3 linked regions of the Nothobranchius furzeri genome follow. The main gene of each other region encodes a partner of the protein of the gene in region 2 in a complex. Links are inferred from orthologs where the notes say so. Each region holds a gene or a part of one and is shown on either strand. Other genes may lie near its edges. The genes, in order: itgb6, itgav and itgb8.

The links.
Region 1: the proteins of itgav (region 2) and itgb6 are in contact, whole or in part, in a crystal structure (PDB 9CZA), measured with the Homo sapiens proteins. The link is inferred for Nothobranchius furzeri from reciprocal best matches to the Homo sapiens genes ITGAV and ITGB6. Residues at the interface, in NP_002201.2 of Homo sapiens: Tyr48, Phe51, Lys72, Trp123, Leu141, His143, Gln150, Glu151, Arg152, Pro154, Asp178, Ala179, Phe184, Gln186, Phe189, Pro204, Tyr208, Trp209, Asp249, Tyr251, Tyr254, Pro274, Arg275, Arg278, Thr279, Met302, Ala303, Tyr305, Phe308, Pro328; in NP_000879.2 of Homo sapiens: Ser183, Pro184, Phe185, Lys187, Thr188, Thr189, Pro190, Ile236, Asp237, Thr238, Pro239, Asp273, Ser274, His275, Phe276, Gly277, Met278, Asp279, Lys281, Leu282, Ala283, Gly284, Val286, Pro288, Glu308, Thr311, Ile312, Gly313, Gln314, Ile316.
Region 3: the proteins of itgav (region 2) and itgb8 are in contact, whole or in part, in a cryo-EM structure (PDB 8TCF), measured with the Homo sapiens proteins. The link is inferred for Nothobranchius furzeri from reciprocal best matches to the Homo sapiens genes ITGAV and ITGB8. Residues at the interface, in NP_002201.2 of Homo sapiens: Tyr48, Phe51, Trp123, Leu141, His143, Gln150, Glu151, Arg152, Pro154, Phe184, Gln186, Phe189, Pro204, Trp209, Asp249, Tyr251, Tyr254, Arg275, Arg278, Thr279, Gln301, Met302, Ala303, Tyr305, Phe308, Pro328, Leu329, Met331, Ser335, Asp336; in NP_002205.1 of Homo sapiens: Ser197, Pro198, Ile202, His203, Pro204, Arg206, Ile250, Asp251, Thr252, Pro253, Thr287, Ser288, His289, Leu290, Ala291, Leu292, Asp293, Lys295, Leu296, Gly298, Val300, Pro302, Glu321, Ser324, Leu325, Gly326, Gln327, Glu330, His349, Trp350.

Annotation. Positions count from the first base shown.
Region 1 is NC_091749.1:40,628,157-40,632,660, reverse strand, and holds the start of itgb6 (integrin beta-6), read left to right. Parts: upstream 1-1,547; 5' UTR 1,548-1,778; intron 1,779-3,404; exon of another isoform or gene 3,405-3,607; 5' UTR 3,608-3,622; coding exon 3,623-3,677; intron 3,678-4,092; coding exon 4,093-4,172; intron 4,173-4,296; coding exon 4,297-4,495; intron 4,496-4,504. UniProt on the Homo sapiens protein: Integrin alpha-V:beta-6 (ITGAV:ITGB6) is a receptor for fibronectin and cytotactin. It recognizes the sequence R-G-D in its ligands. Internalization of integrin alpha-V/beta-6 via clathrin-mediated endocytosis promotes carcinoma cell invasion.
Region 2 is NC_091754.1:34,944,816-34,948,651, reverse strand, and holds part of itgav (integrin alpha-V), read right to left. Parts: intron 2,629-3,836; coding exon 2,585-2,628; intron 2,496-2,584; coding exon 2,439-2,495; intron 1,955-2,438; coding exon 1,902-1,954; intron 1,102-1,901; coding exon 1,026-1,101; intron 667-1,025; coding exon 537-666; intron 464-536; coding exon 366-463; intron 132-365; coding exon 38-131; intron 1-37.
Region 3 is NC_091751.1:28,152,358-28,156,988, reverse strand, and holds the start of itgb8 (integrin beta-8), read right to left. Parts: upstream 2,854-4,631; 5' UTR 2,712-2,853; coding exon 2,621-2,711; intron 1,750-2,620; coding exon 1,664-1,749; intron 1-1,663. UniProt on the Homo sapiens protein: Integrin alpha-V:beta-8 (ITGAV:ITGB8) is a receptor for fibronectin. It recognizes the sequence R-G-D in its ligands.

The sequences.
Region 1 (4,504 bases), on a different chromosome or scaffold from region 2:
GAATCAGAAATACTGGTGAAGATTTACAAGGTTTATACGAGTAAATTTAATATTTTTGTGCTAAAATTCAGCATTTTTGAAGTGCTGGCTTGTGTTCAGCTTTTCTGAAGGTGAACATCTTTGTTGAAGATCTATAGGAGAGTTTTATGATGCATTTATGCTATAGGAGATTAGTTTTAGGAAATACATAGACTAATTTCATCTGCAAATATGTTGATGAAGCAATTAACACAGAGCCCATAATTTATTAATACTCTGATTTAACATTTTCTAAATGCACCTTATGTCATTTATTTTATACAGACTGATTCAAAGCTGAACAAAGTCATTCTGACTCTTAAGTGGATTCATTTAGTAGTTCAACACCTTTATCAGAATTAGAATAAAGTTTAAACCACTGTCATAAAGTACAGCAGACACATCCCTTCTTACTTTAAGTTCCTCTTATGCTATTGTCTGACAAACTTCCTCATGCACCAGCTCGGATGACAATCAGCTAACAAAAGCAGCGAGAAAAAGCTCACACACGTTTGTGTTCATTGAAATTGTTAAAGCACTTTCCACTTTGACCATGGTCATTTTTCTATGTTTTATCATGGTTACAAGTAAAACCTAAATGAAAAATGTAGTTAGGTTTGTTTTTCTTTAAATTCATAATTAGAATAAGTTTAATTCTCAAAATGGGCTGTCATTGTACTTAATCCCTTTCTTCCTTTTTCTGTTCTGATTTTTGGAGCCTCCAGCTGCTCGGGCCACCACTTTACTAGAATTGAAGTTAATGAACATTACTCCCTTTAAAAAGAGTATCTCAGGAGTTTTTTTATGGATCTAGATATTTAACCCTCTGGAGGCAGGTGTTGCAGATTTGCAACAGTTAAATCCTACCTACCTGGTTACCCCACATATGTATTTCATCAGCATATTTTAACTCAGAAGTAACTCAGAAGTGAAGGACTTAGTTGTTCATCCTTTTGTCAAAACTTATTTTGAGCCTGAGAGGATTAGAAAAATATTCTAATGGCATTGTGTCCAAACTCTGGCTTTAAGACTACCTAAACTTCTGTTTTGTATCGTGTGGAGCTGCTTTTATCATTTATTTTTCCTGCAAGGCTGTGTGTACACCTGCATTCTTGCCATACCGCTGTATGAAGGAGGCTGTATTACAGCGCTGGCCCTCCTCTCTGTCTCCTCCACATTTTCACTGCAGGAAGTAAATTGAACTTGAGCAAACAAACACACACACACACACACAATCCAGACTTATCACTGTTTTTACACAGAGCCAGGCATGTTGTGGTGCAGCTTGAAGAGTGAAACTCCAGAACATCAGGCACTAACAGAGAAGCCGGCTCCAGTGGAGAACTCAGCCTGCAGTTGTCACTGTCACTCATTATCACCCCACACTCCCTCAACACACACATAAGGGCAAGCTGGAGCTTGTACAAACACCCACACATGACCCTCACATGCATGCATGCACACCCACTCACCCACTTTCAAACACACACACACACACACACACACACACACACACACACACACACACACACACACACACACACACAAAGGCACACATGAGCCAGGGAGCATGGGCAGCAGGGTCACCCCAGCGCCATGCTTCATAAAGAGCGCTGTTACAATAGGTTTACTGTTACTCTGACGATAGCTGGGATACAATGAGACTAACGGTGCTGGCCTGATTTCTGTCCATTTTTTACTTGGCTGCGAGAGAGAAAGACTGAGACTGGACAGCATGTTATCAGCGGACAGCAATGGAGGTGAGTCAGTTGTGTTTAATAAATGTGGAGCATTTCAAAAGAGGACCTGACAGAAAGGTCTAATGAGACTGATTCTTTTTTTAAATTATAACAGGATCCCCCATGAAAGCTGCCATCTACACAATAATCTGCTGAAACCGTGAAATAGTTTTGTTGCGAGCTCACTAAACTGAATGGTGTCACATTCAAAAAGCCAAGGTGACATGGTGCAAATGTGTCACCTTATTGCACCTAAGCATCATCTGAAAAGATGAAAAGTTGCATGATTTGGAGTTTGGTTGCATCATGTTGAGTTTTTTATATATGTATGAGGAAAAGAGATGAGAAGAGATGTGAGAAGAGAGAGAGACACAGGAGTGAAGAGGAAGACTGACAGAAAGGTTAATGACAGGAAGTGAGTCAATGGAGGCGTGAATGAAACGGCCCGTTCACAGATGCAGAGATCAGGAGGGCTACTGGGAGAGGTGGGTCAAAATACAAAGGGTCTGCACAGAACATGGAGAGGGCGGAGGGGTGGGTGGATAACAGGAGGAGAGGTGGGGTTTGGATTGGGGTGACAGATGGGACTTACCCAGATTCAGAAGAGGCGTGGTGCTAAATTGTAAGATTCCTCCGAGTGGTATCTTTACTGCAGCTGTCAATGATTCAACACCTACACAGGGCCACACCCTTCTGTCCTCATGAACTCAACACACACACACACACACACACACACACACACACACACACACACACACACACACACACTCAGTGCAACACGTCGGATACTTATAGACATGAAAGGTTGTTTTTGTCAGTAGTCAAAAACTCATAAGATGGACCAACTGTGATTCATGCGTTAAATATTAACCTACTTGCTTTTAGTGTGTCTGCTTTAATAGTTGCACATGGTGGTGCTTGTCTGGGTTCTTTTATTATGTTTTAACAAAAGTACAATAAATACATGAAGACTGGAGGCTAAACAAAGATTAGTGCATCCATACACATTCACTTATACAGATTTAATTACATGAGAGTGTCTTCTTAGTGTTTTTACATGCAAAGACTCAGAAATCAGACATAATATGGACATTAAATAAACAAAAAAAAATGCTTTAATAAATTAGTTTTAAAGTTTAATTGTACAAATTTGGTGACCAATTAAATAGAAAATTTAGAGCTCAAAGTAGAAAATGACTACAGTGTTTTGTTCTTGATTACTAACAAGTTAGAATAAAAAACATCAATCATCAGCTAATTTTTTCAGTAGTGATCAGCTTATATTGTAATAAATACACAAATAGGATTACAAAACAAACGAAATTAACGAAATAAATAAATATCTGTTGCTATGATTTTTAACTATTTTGTATTTTTATAGCTTTATTTTATTTTATTAAAAGGCTTAAAATCAGCATTTCTTTTTCGTTCTATATTTTTTGCATCTTGGTAAGAAATTTAATCATTTTCACTCATGCAGGGGAAACACAATACTTGATGTGGTGTGATCTGTTGATGTGGTGATAAAAACACGACACGTGACAGCTGAACTTCTCTTGTACATTTATTAGAATTTTTGTTGTTGTTGTTTCTTTAGTTTTTAAACATTAAAGGTCTTGTAGAAAAGAAAAGGGGGAAAACTTGAAAAGGTGTGCGATCCGTCGCTCCCGCCTCCCTTTTCTCACCTGAACGGAAGTGGCCGCGCAGGTAAAGGCAGTTCCTCCTCTCCAGGTGCAGCGGAGCGGCAGCGCTCTCCTGGTCTGCTTTAATCTGAGACGGCATGGGTTGGTTTCACTCCTGTAAATATAGCCCCTGAGAATACCTGAAACACTCCTCTTCTGTTCATTCAGTAACCTCACGGACTCATGTGGTTTCTACTGCTGATCCCGGTTCTCCGGTGCTGGATCAACACCGTGGAGGGTAAGCGCGAAGCTCTGCTCGGTTTGAAAGGATAAAGGGAAGCAAGTTTGTCAGGTGCAAACAAAGTAGTACCAGGCTGGGATTTTAAAAGCTTCAATGTCAGGACAGCAACAATAGTCAGTTATTATTATGATTATGATTATTATTATGATTATGATTATTATTATTATTATTGTTGTTATTGTTATTGTTATTATTGTTATTATTATTATTATTATTATTATTATTATTATTATTATTATTATTATTATTATTGTTATTATTGTTGTTGTTGTTGTTGTTGTTAAATACCACAGCACTTTTTCCTGACAGTTAAGTTGCTTATATGTGCTAATAGATGAATAACTGCAGCTGCAGGCTTCACTCATTCAGATGATTTCTTGGCTCATTGTTGACTATGTGGTTTCTGCTACAGGATCATGTATAACCAGGAGCTCTGTGACCTGTGATGAGTGTCTGCAGCTCAGTCCTCACTGTGCCTGGTGCACACAGGAGGTAAAAAAAACATTCTTGCATGAATTAAATAAGCATAAAGACAAATGAATGTAATTTTTTGTGATTTCTTATTATAATCCTCAGTAATCTTAACGCCCTATGTTCTGTGACATTTCTCCACCAGAATTTTACAAACTGGTTTTCAGCGACAGAGCGATGTGACACGCTGGATAAGCTGCTGGAGAAAGGGTGTGCCCGTGAACGTCTCCTGTTCCCCATTTCTGAAGCCCAAATTATCCAAGACTGGCCACTTGGGAAGAAGACGACAAACACAAACAGCACTCAGATTTCCCCGCAAAAAATATCTGTCAAGCTTCGACCGGGTACACAGT
Region 2 (3,836 bases):
TGTGTGTGTGTGTGTGTGTGTGTGTGTGTGTGTGTACCTGGATATCCATTCTGGTCTACATCAGTATTTCCTGTCATAGAGTATCCAAAGCTAGCAGGCATGTAGCTGGACGCCCATTTGCCCTGGAGGACCTAAGCAACAAAGCAGGTCCAGCTGATCTGAATGAAGTTGTGGTTTTGTACAGGTTACTTTACTTTCTGCTCCTCCGTGGAAACCACAGAGCTCCTTTCAAACCCTTTCATGGAAACATCTTCCCAGAGTCTGATCCTAACACTGAAACTGATGTGAAATCAACATTTTAACTGTTTCTCTGGATTTCTCAACAATGACAAAGGCTTTAGCTAACAGGACTTTTGAGCATTTACCTGAGAGGGTGATGAGTCAGGTCCCTTAGGGCGGCCATTGTGGATGTATACCAAACCGTTGTGGTCAGGACCTCCATAAGGAGCAGAGATGGCCACATCTGGACAGAAATAGCTGAGTCAAGCGTTTTGGACCAGAAGACAGAAGTGGATCTGTGCAGTGATGAGGTTTACCGTTGAATCCGTCTTTGTCCAGGTCTCCCAGCGCAGCGATGGCAGAACCATATCTGGCATAAACCTCTGAGCCGGTCAGGAACTGGGGTAGCTGAAAGGAGAAGCCCCCCCGACTGAGATACACAGCCACCTGGAGGGAAAGAGAACACACGCAAACGGCGTCAGCCTGGCGTCCCCATGGCGACCACCACCACTGTGCATGTGCACAGTAGGACTAGGTAACTAAACACTTCTAATCCAAAAGGATTCAGATGAAGGCAAGTGGGCTTCTATGATTTCTTAAAGACGTTTCACTTCTCATCCGAGGAGCTTCACAATCCTGGCATGGGATAAGCCTCATGCCTCCTCGATGAGAAGCCAGACGTCTTCACGAAACCAGATTATTCCAGTTGCCTTCATCGAAACCCTTTTGGATTGATATGACCTGGATGAGTGAGAAGCTTCACCACCTCTATGCAATGGTGACAGCTGTGTATGAGCTGCTCCTACCTGTCCCACCTCCCTGAGCTTCCCATCTGAGCCTCTGTCCATGAAGAGAGGAGCACCGACCAACAGGTCCACCAGACTGAAACACATCCCTTACAAATCAGTCCTCCAATCAGAGACGTGCATATTTACTCTGTAGGTCCAACACTCGTGGGAAATGTTCTTCCTGTCTCAGAGTTTAAGTCAACTGATCCGTGCAATAACTGATGAAGAATGTGATCAGAAGCAGACTCTCTTTAGGTCTGAATGCAGGGTATCTGCAGGTTTAAGGGAGCCAAATGTAAGACTTTTTAAGACCTTTTTTAAGGCCACTTTGACCAAATTTAAGCTATTTTTAAAATTAAATTTAAGCTATAATTTCCAGCTATTGCCTGGAAACGGTGCTAACCACGACGCGAACGTGGGATTAGCCACCCAGTTACCATTAAACTTGCCCTTCCCATGGTGCAAGCTCCCACTAGCTTAACCAGCTAATGTGCTCATCTAAAAATAGCCCCCTTTCACAACCAACTGAATGTGTACGGTTCCGCCAATATCATACACAAAAACCGCTGAACACTAAACTAGAAATTCACGAAACATTTTATAGAAATAAAAGAATCTTGTTTATTGGGTCTTTGGTAATGTAAGACCTTTGGAAACTGTATTTAAGGATTATTTGTCATTTTTAAGGATTTTTAAGGCCATAAATTTGGAAAAACTAATTTAAGACTTTTCAGGGACCCGCGGATACACCTGGAATAAAAACAATCATTTAGTGTGTTTGGTTCGACAGCTGGATCCGTCACACGACAGAACCTTGCATTTGGTGAAGCTGAAGGTGACAGCCCAGCCAGGAAACAACCTCACAAAGGCAGTAGGAGAAGACCAGTCACTTACCCATCGTTATTAACGTCAGAGACGGCCACTGAATGTCCAAAGTAGGCTGCCATCTACAAGAGAAGTGGGAGAGACGACTCTTTAGAGGCCGTGCACACACCCTGCTAAAGGTCCTGCTCAAACATTTGTTCTTCACATCCAGTGGCAGAATTCACCAAATTCTAACAACTTCCACTTGGGTGTCAGTGATTTAGAGCAGAGAGGCAAGAAAAGGTGGAGCTGGGACCTTCAAAGGGAGCTGATAGCAGCGAGGTTGTTGGGTTTAGAGGGGGAGTTGTTTAGGATGAACTCTGTCATTAACTCTGCTCCTCCCCCACAGTTCTCTGTGTTCACACACTCCTCTGGATCCACTAAAACGGCTCCTCGCATTTCTTCTAAGCAATTAAAACAATAATAAAGAACTGTGGCTGTTTAAAAAACAACTGGAAAAAAAGTGATTTTATTTGAAAACGACCGTCTGACACCGCCAGCCCTCGTTGCTTTCTAGCTGAGGTCTCCTAGGAACGTGTGGTGTGTGTTGGGGGTCCTGCAGCTCACCTGAGAGCCAGTGAAGTTGATCATGGACGCCATGTTTAGCCCATTGAAGATGTTCACCTTAAACACACAGAAGCATCGCCTTAACTTCACCTCTGCATCCATCCCAGTCTGGAGGACGTACCGCTGAGACGAGTGTGAACGCTTACATAACCCAACGCCTGCTGTCCTCTCGGTACTCCAGTCACAAAATCTGTCAACGTCAGGAAAAGAGACGCAGCATGAATCACAACCAGTATTTCCACAACCCAGCCATTAACTACAGATACAGGGACTAAACGACTGCCCCCTGGTGGCTGGCTGCAGTAAATGATTAGGTCCCACCCCCCGAGGAGCAAACACACTCTGGCTAAGACAACATAGTGGCTCCAGTAACTGTGACATTGTTACAAGGGAAGTAGATGGAGACTCGTTCAATGGAACTAGGATTGGGACAATATTACATGTACCGTATTTTCGGACTATAAGCCGCTACTTTTTTCCCCATGCTTTGAACCATGCAGCTTATAATGAGGTGCGGCTTTACTGAAGATTTTCCTCCACCTGCCAGGGGGCGCATTAGCAGAAAGTGAAACAGATGGAAGTGAAAAGTGGAAATCGAAGAAAGTGCTCATTTTAATTTAGCACATGCAAGCAGCCGGCACGACGAAGAAGTTTTTTCAAATCCATATCCCCTCATCATGGAAACTACACGTATGAGTTCATATGATGCTGTATTTAAGTTGAAGGCCATTGATCTGGGAGTAAAGGAATGAATCCATGGTTCGGCGCTGGAGACGGCAGCGGGAAGAACTCATTCACACCAGCTTCACCCAGGGACATCGACACAGAAAAGGTATGTGACGAAGCTCTTCTGAGGCTGTTAAAAAGGGACTTTACGGAGTTTTGAACTTTTATGCTCGTGATTGCCCCCTCAGGCCAAAAGCGTAACGGCAGCTTCAATAGTAGGCTCGTGCACGAGGCGCGCATGCTATACATGCCCACTCCTTAACGAAAATAACAGCTGAGACTGTCCCTTGTGTGTGTGTGTGTGTGTGTGTGTGTGTGTGTGTGTGCGTGCGTGCGTGCGTGTGTGTGTGTGTGTGTGTGTGTGGCCCGGAGGACAGAGAACAGGAGAAGACTCGGCTAATTCAGGGGTGGACCTTTAAAGCGCCCGAGCGCCAATGGTGCTAAATTTTCTCGTTGGGCGGTAAATACTTGACAACTTACCGCCAAGGTGGCGCCCAAGCCTTATTTGTCATTTACACAGGCTTTCACCTACATCATGGCCGCGCCCTGTAGGAAGCTGCCGTTTTCGTTTTGCGCCCGTGAACCTGCGCGCATCTAGCCACGTACTGCACTTGTACGATTCATGCACATACTGCACGATTCTAGTTATAGTCACGTGAACTATAAGTTCAC
Region 3 (4,631 bases), on a different chromosome or scaffold from region 2:
TCCCGCTATGGCCCCACTGTGGCCCTTTGCTGTGGGGCCCTCGTGTGCGCCTCATTTCTCGGTGGAACCCTGGCATGGCTGGGCTTTCCATCATTTACGTAGCAGTTTTCATCCGACCCAAAGCGTTTTCTCTTACCTGAGCTGCCGCTGCCCCACCATTACAAACACCAAATATTACAATAGCTCTAAAACCTTATTTAGAGAACTTGTGTCATGTAAGTTACATTTCTGTTTTCTTAAAGATCTGTTGATTCCCCTGAATTCCCCACATGGGCTAACACTCACGGGGCCACTGTGGGTAGTTTTAGGGCAGATCCCAATGTGGGGTGCCCACAGAAATAATCACAGGTATCTACTGGGCTGATCCAGGGCACCCCACAAGGGATGGATTTGGGCTGATGCACCTGTGGGTTGCACTTAACTAAATCTAACCCTACCCTAACCCTTGACTACATCTAAAGGGGGCTCACGTAGGAAAACAAATATGGGCCCCATTCATGCAAACATACACAAGATCCTTGTGGGTGAACTCTAGGGTAAGTGTGGGTTTGTCCTGCCCACAGAAGCTCATGGTGGGCCCAAACGGGCATGTTCGCTGGGTCTGTGTGTGTGTGTATGACTATATGTGTGTGTGTTTTATTGGTTACCCAGCTTTCCAGCTCAGTTTCAGGACTGATATTCAGAAACACTTTTTGTCACCACCCAGGAAGCACAACAAACTTAAACCTCATTAGTCATTTTCTACAGAACTCGGGCACAAAAACCACACAGGCGTCATGCACTCCACAACCATGACTGACGCTGAGCTGAGCCTGAAAACCAGACTCTGTATACTCTTTGATATCCTCACAAAAACAACTGGCCTAACATTTAACACCAAAAAGTTTAAGACTGGCTACTTCCCGGGACTTTCCTTCACAAGACCTGGGAGTTCAGCGTCTCACGTGGGCACATGTTTACATGAATACAGTTACAGATGTGTTTTCAGAGCTCGTTCAGGCGTGGACGTGTGTGTGTAGAGGTTACAAGGGTGATGTTTGAAGGCCCTCACACACACACATACACATACACACACACACACACACACGTAGACCCAACCCAAAGATGATGTCAGAGAAGTTTAGGGTTCAACAGGGTGGGAAAGCACCTGAAGTCTAAAAAACACTTTCAATCAGTGTGATGTCACTCTCTCTCTGTGTGTGTGTGTGTGTGTGTGTGTGTGTGTGTGTGTGTGTGTGTGGTGTGTGTGTGTGTGTGTGTGTGTGTGTGTGTGTGTGTGTGTGTGTGTGGTGTGGCACTGATAGACCGAAGCTTCTCAAGGCCAAATCAGGGTGGGCTCTTCACAGGACAGCAAGACATGCAAGACAGATAAAGACAAACACACGGGCTGATGCAGAAAGACGGAGAGACTAAACACAAAGACAGAAAGTGTCTTCATCTGAGAAAACACACACCGACGTTTTCACACACACAGATCACATAATGCACACCACTCAGCCCAAACATACACATTCGATCCTTGTTTGCGAATGCCATGAAAGCATTGGTGCGTGTCATCTGAGGAATGCACTTGAGTCTGCCACGTTCCTACTGTTTGCTTTATTTCCCTTTTGCCTGGCTCACACACACACACACACACACACACACACACACACACACACACCTTCTGGAAGCACCAGGCGCACTGAGGTCCACGGCAGAGGCAGTCTGTGCATGAGGCAACACCGGGCGACTGACACACACCAGCTCCTAACAACAATCACAGAAAAAAGGATAAAAAAGAGTGTCTGATTAGCATATGAACGAGTGTGTGTGTCAACATGCATTAGCCATGCGGTGCAGCTTCTGATGACGTTTAAATCTGGTTTACCCCTCGATGATGGAAGCACCGCTCAGAATCTCATAGGTCACATCCAGCACATACTGGTGAGTGTGGGAACAGGTGCTTGAAATGTTGGAATGGATGCGTGGAGTACCTCAAACTTTTATTTAAACTGAAACTTTTAAAAACACACACACCAAGGATGTGAGAAAGGGTCTAATGTGCACCTTGGGCTTCCTGTAGTTGGATTAATGATTTACTGAAGTAATTTATCTGCTAAATCCAATTTTCCAGAGTACTCTCGGTGATTTATGGAGCTGGAATGTAGGCCAGAGAAAGCATGCAGGTCTGAGCCTCATTAACAGACCCATTATCAGGCAGCTCTGACCCAATTAGCACTCTGACCTCTAGTAACCCATCAGATAGGTGATGGGTGGAGGTTTTAATGCAATACGGCGGTTAGAGGAGAGCTTGGTTTGCTGATGGTCGGAGATGTTCCTGCAGACTTTAGCAGATCAGGTTGATTCAGGTTGATAATTGATCAGAGTTCAATTTGGGGGTTTGAAACGTAGGTTTCACCATCCAGACCTGATCTGGGGCATCTTTCCTACTGATTATAATCTGCTGATTATAATTTGGTGCATCATATGCCAAATTATAAACGCACCTTTTTCATCCATCACATGCAGGTACAAACGCTGGAATTATTGATAACAGCTATAACATTATACATAACAGCCCATATAGTTATTGTGGGTTGTTATGTAATTGGTCCCTAATGAGCCTTGACCCACTCACCGGTACTGGACGCTGCAGCGCAGACTGCGAGCACCGCGCAGCAGAGCAGGACGCACAGACGAGGGTCGCTGCGGGGCGGCCAGCACGTCATCCTGTCCACGATTCAAGGAGAAGGAACCGGATCAAACTCAGATCCGTGCGCCCACGGCCGCACGAACAAAAGCCGGGACTGTCGCGTCGACATTGTCCTTCACTTAAAGAGAAATAAAGCAGAGAGAGACGTCTCTCTAACCCCGGTTACCTCTTCACATCACCGGGTCAGAGGAGTTTAGCAAAGCGCGCTGCCCGGTTGACAAGGTGAAGCCGTAGTTAGACTGTTTCACACCGTCCCTCCATCTGTTTTCAGGTGTGCCACCCCCCACCCTCTCCCAGGTCTCGCGCAGCTGCGTTCAGGCGACACGCTCCTCCGGTACACTGACCCAACACATGACGCTCCAGGTTCAGGAGAATGAGCGCGTTTCAACCATTGAACAGACTCAGGCAGGCGGATGCCATAGCAACGACGCGTTTAAGTCCTGCTGTAGAGTGGAAGAGGGAGGGACAAACAGAAAGAGAGAGAGAGAGAGAGAGAGAGAGAGAGAGAGAGAGAGAGAGAGAGAGAGAGAGAGAGAGAGAGAGAGAGAGAGAGAGAGAGAGAGAGAGAGAGAGAGAGAGAGAGAGAGAGATGCGGGTCATTCCAGAAATGCTTCCTTGGATGAGGCTGCATCTGAGAACCACGAGGGCTTCTGTTGGGGTGGGAACCCAAAGCTGGATGGTGGATGGGTGATGGGGGTGCTCGGAGGTCAGTAGCGGGGTTCACAAGCTGCTGCTGCAGAGGGGGAGGAAGGGGGATCCATTGTGTAACGATTTCAATGAGAGAGTAATCTTTCCTCACCGCTGAGCTGCAGCCAGAGACTCTAAACAACTGCGCATCTGAAGAGAAAGGCTATGGGGCGCCGTTTATAAAGTATCACAATAAGTACATAAAATGTATCATATTTAGATTCAATGATGGACAAAAGTATAACATTTAAAGTTTAAATAGTTACACTGAAAATTTTTAGATTCAATCAAAAGTATAGGAGAAACTCCAAAACAAGTTTAACCCAAATAAAATAAGTTGATTTAAACATTTGCCGTCACACCTAAAAATAAAGAATTACATATAAACACGTGTTAAATCTAAATTATAAAAAACATAGGCCTGCGTTAAGTTTCAGCTTATAAATATTTAAACTTAAACCTGAATATTTAGAATAAAATTAAATACATAACTTTAACTAAAACCAAAATACCTCAAAATAAATCTAAATAATCATTTAAAAAAGAAAATATTCAAGATCACTCTAACATATTAAAGGTTGACCATAGTACATGAACACCACAGCATCATCTAGTGTGTGGAGGTTAGTTGAAAACAGCCGATCGGAGCTGTGGCTGTAGGGTCGCCGGTGCCTGTTGTGGGGGCAATCCCCAAACCAGCTGGTTGACACCAACAAATAGGGATGCCGTCAAGCTTAAGAAAGAACCCTAATGGATGTGTTGGGCCTGTGGGACTCCAAAGGCAGCTGATGGTAGCGGAATGTGGCCCGGGTGGTCAAAGAGGCAAAAACCCAGATGTGGGAGCAGCAAGACTTCCCAAGGGCTTCAAGGAGATTCTGGTCCAACCCCCGGTGCCTCAAGAGGACAAAGCAGTGCCTACCAACACTGTTTATAGCGGGGACGGTGTGCTGCTGAACTCAGCTCGGGACATGGATCGGTGAGCAGAGTACTTCAAAGACCTCCTCAATCCCACCGGCACGTCTTCCAGTGACGAAGCAGACTTTAACATTTGGTTTCAAATCTGCATGTTTTATTTAGATTTTAACATCTATATGTGTCATTTTGTATATTTGGATTAGATCTTAAATAATCAGATGTATCTTTGCATGTTTTTATTTGATTCTAAATATTTACATTTATCATTGTAATGTCCATTTATGTTTGAAGAGTTATGCACTTTCCATTGTAATTTACCAAACTAATGTGATGA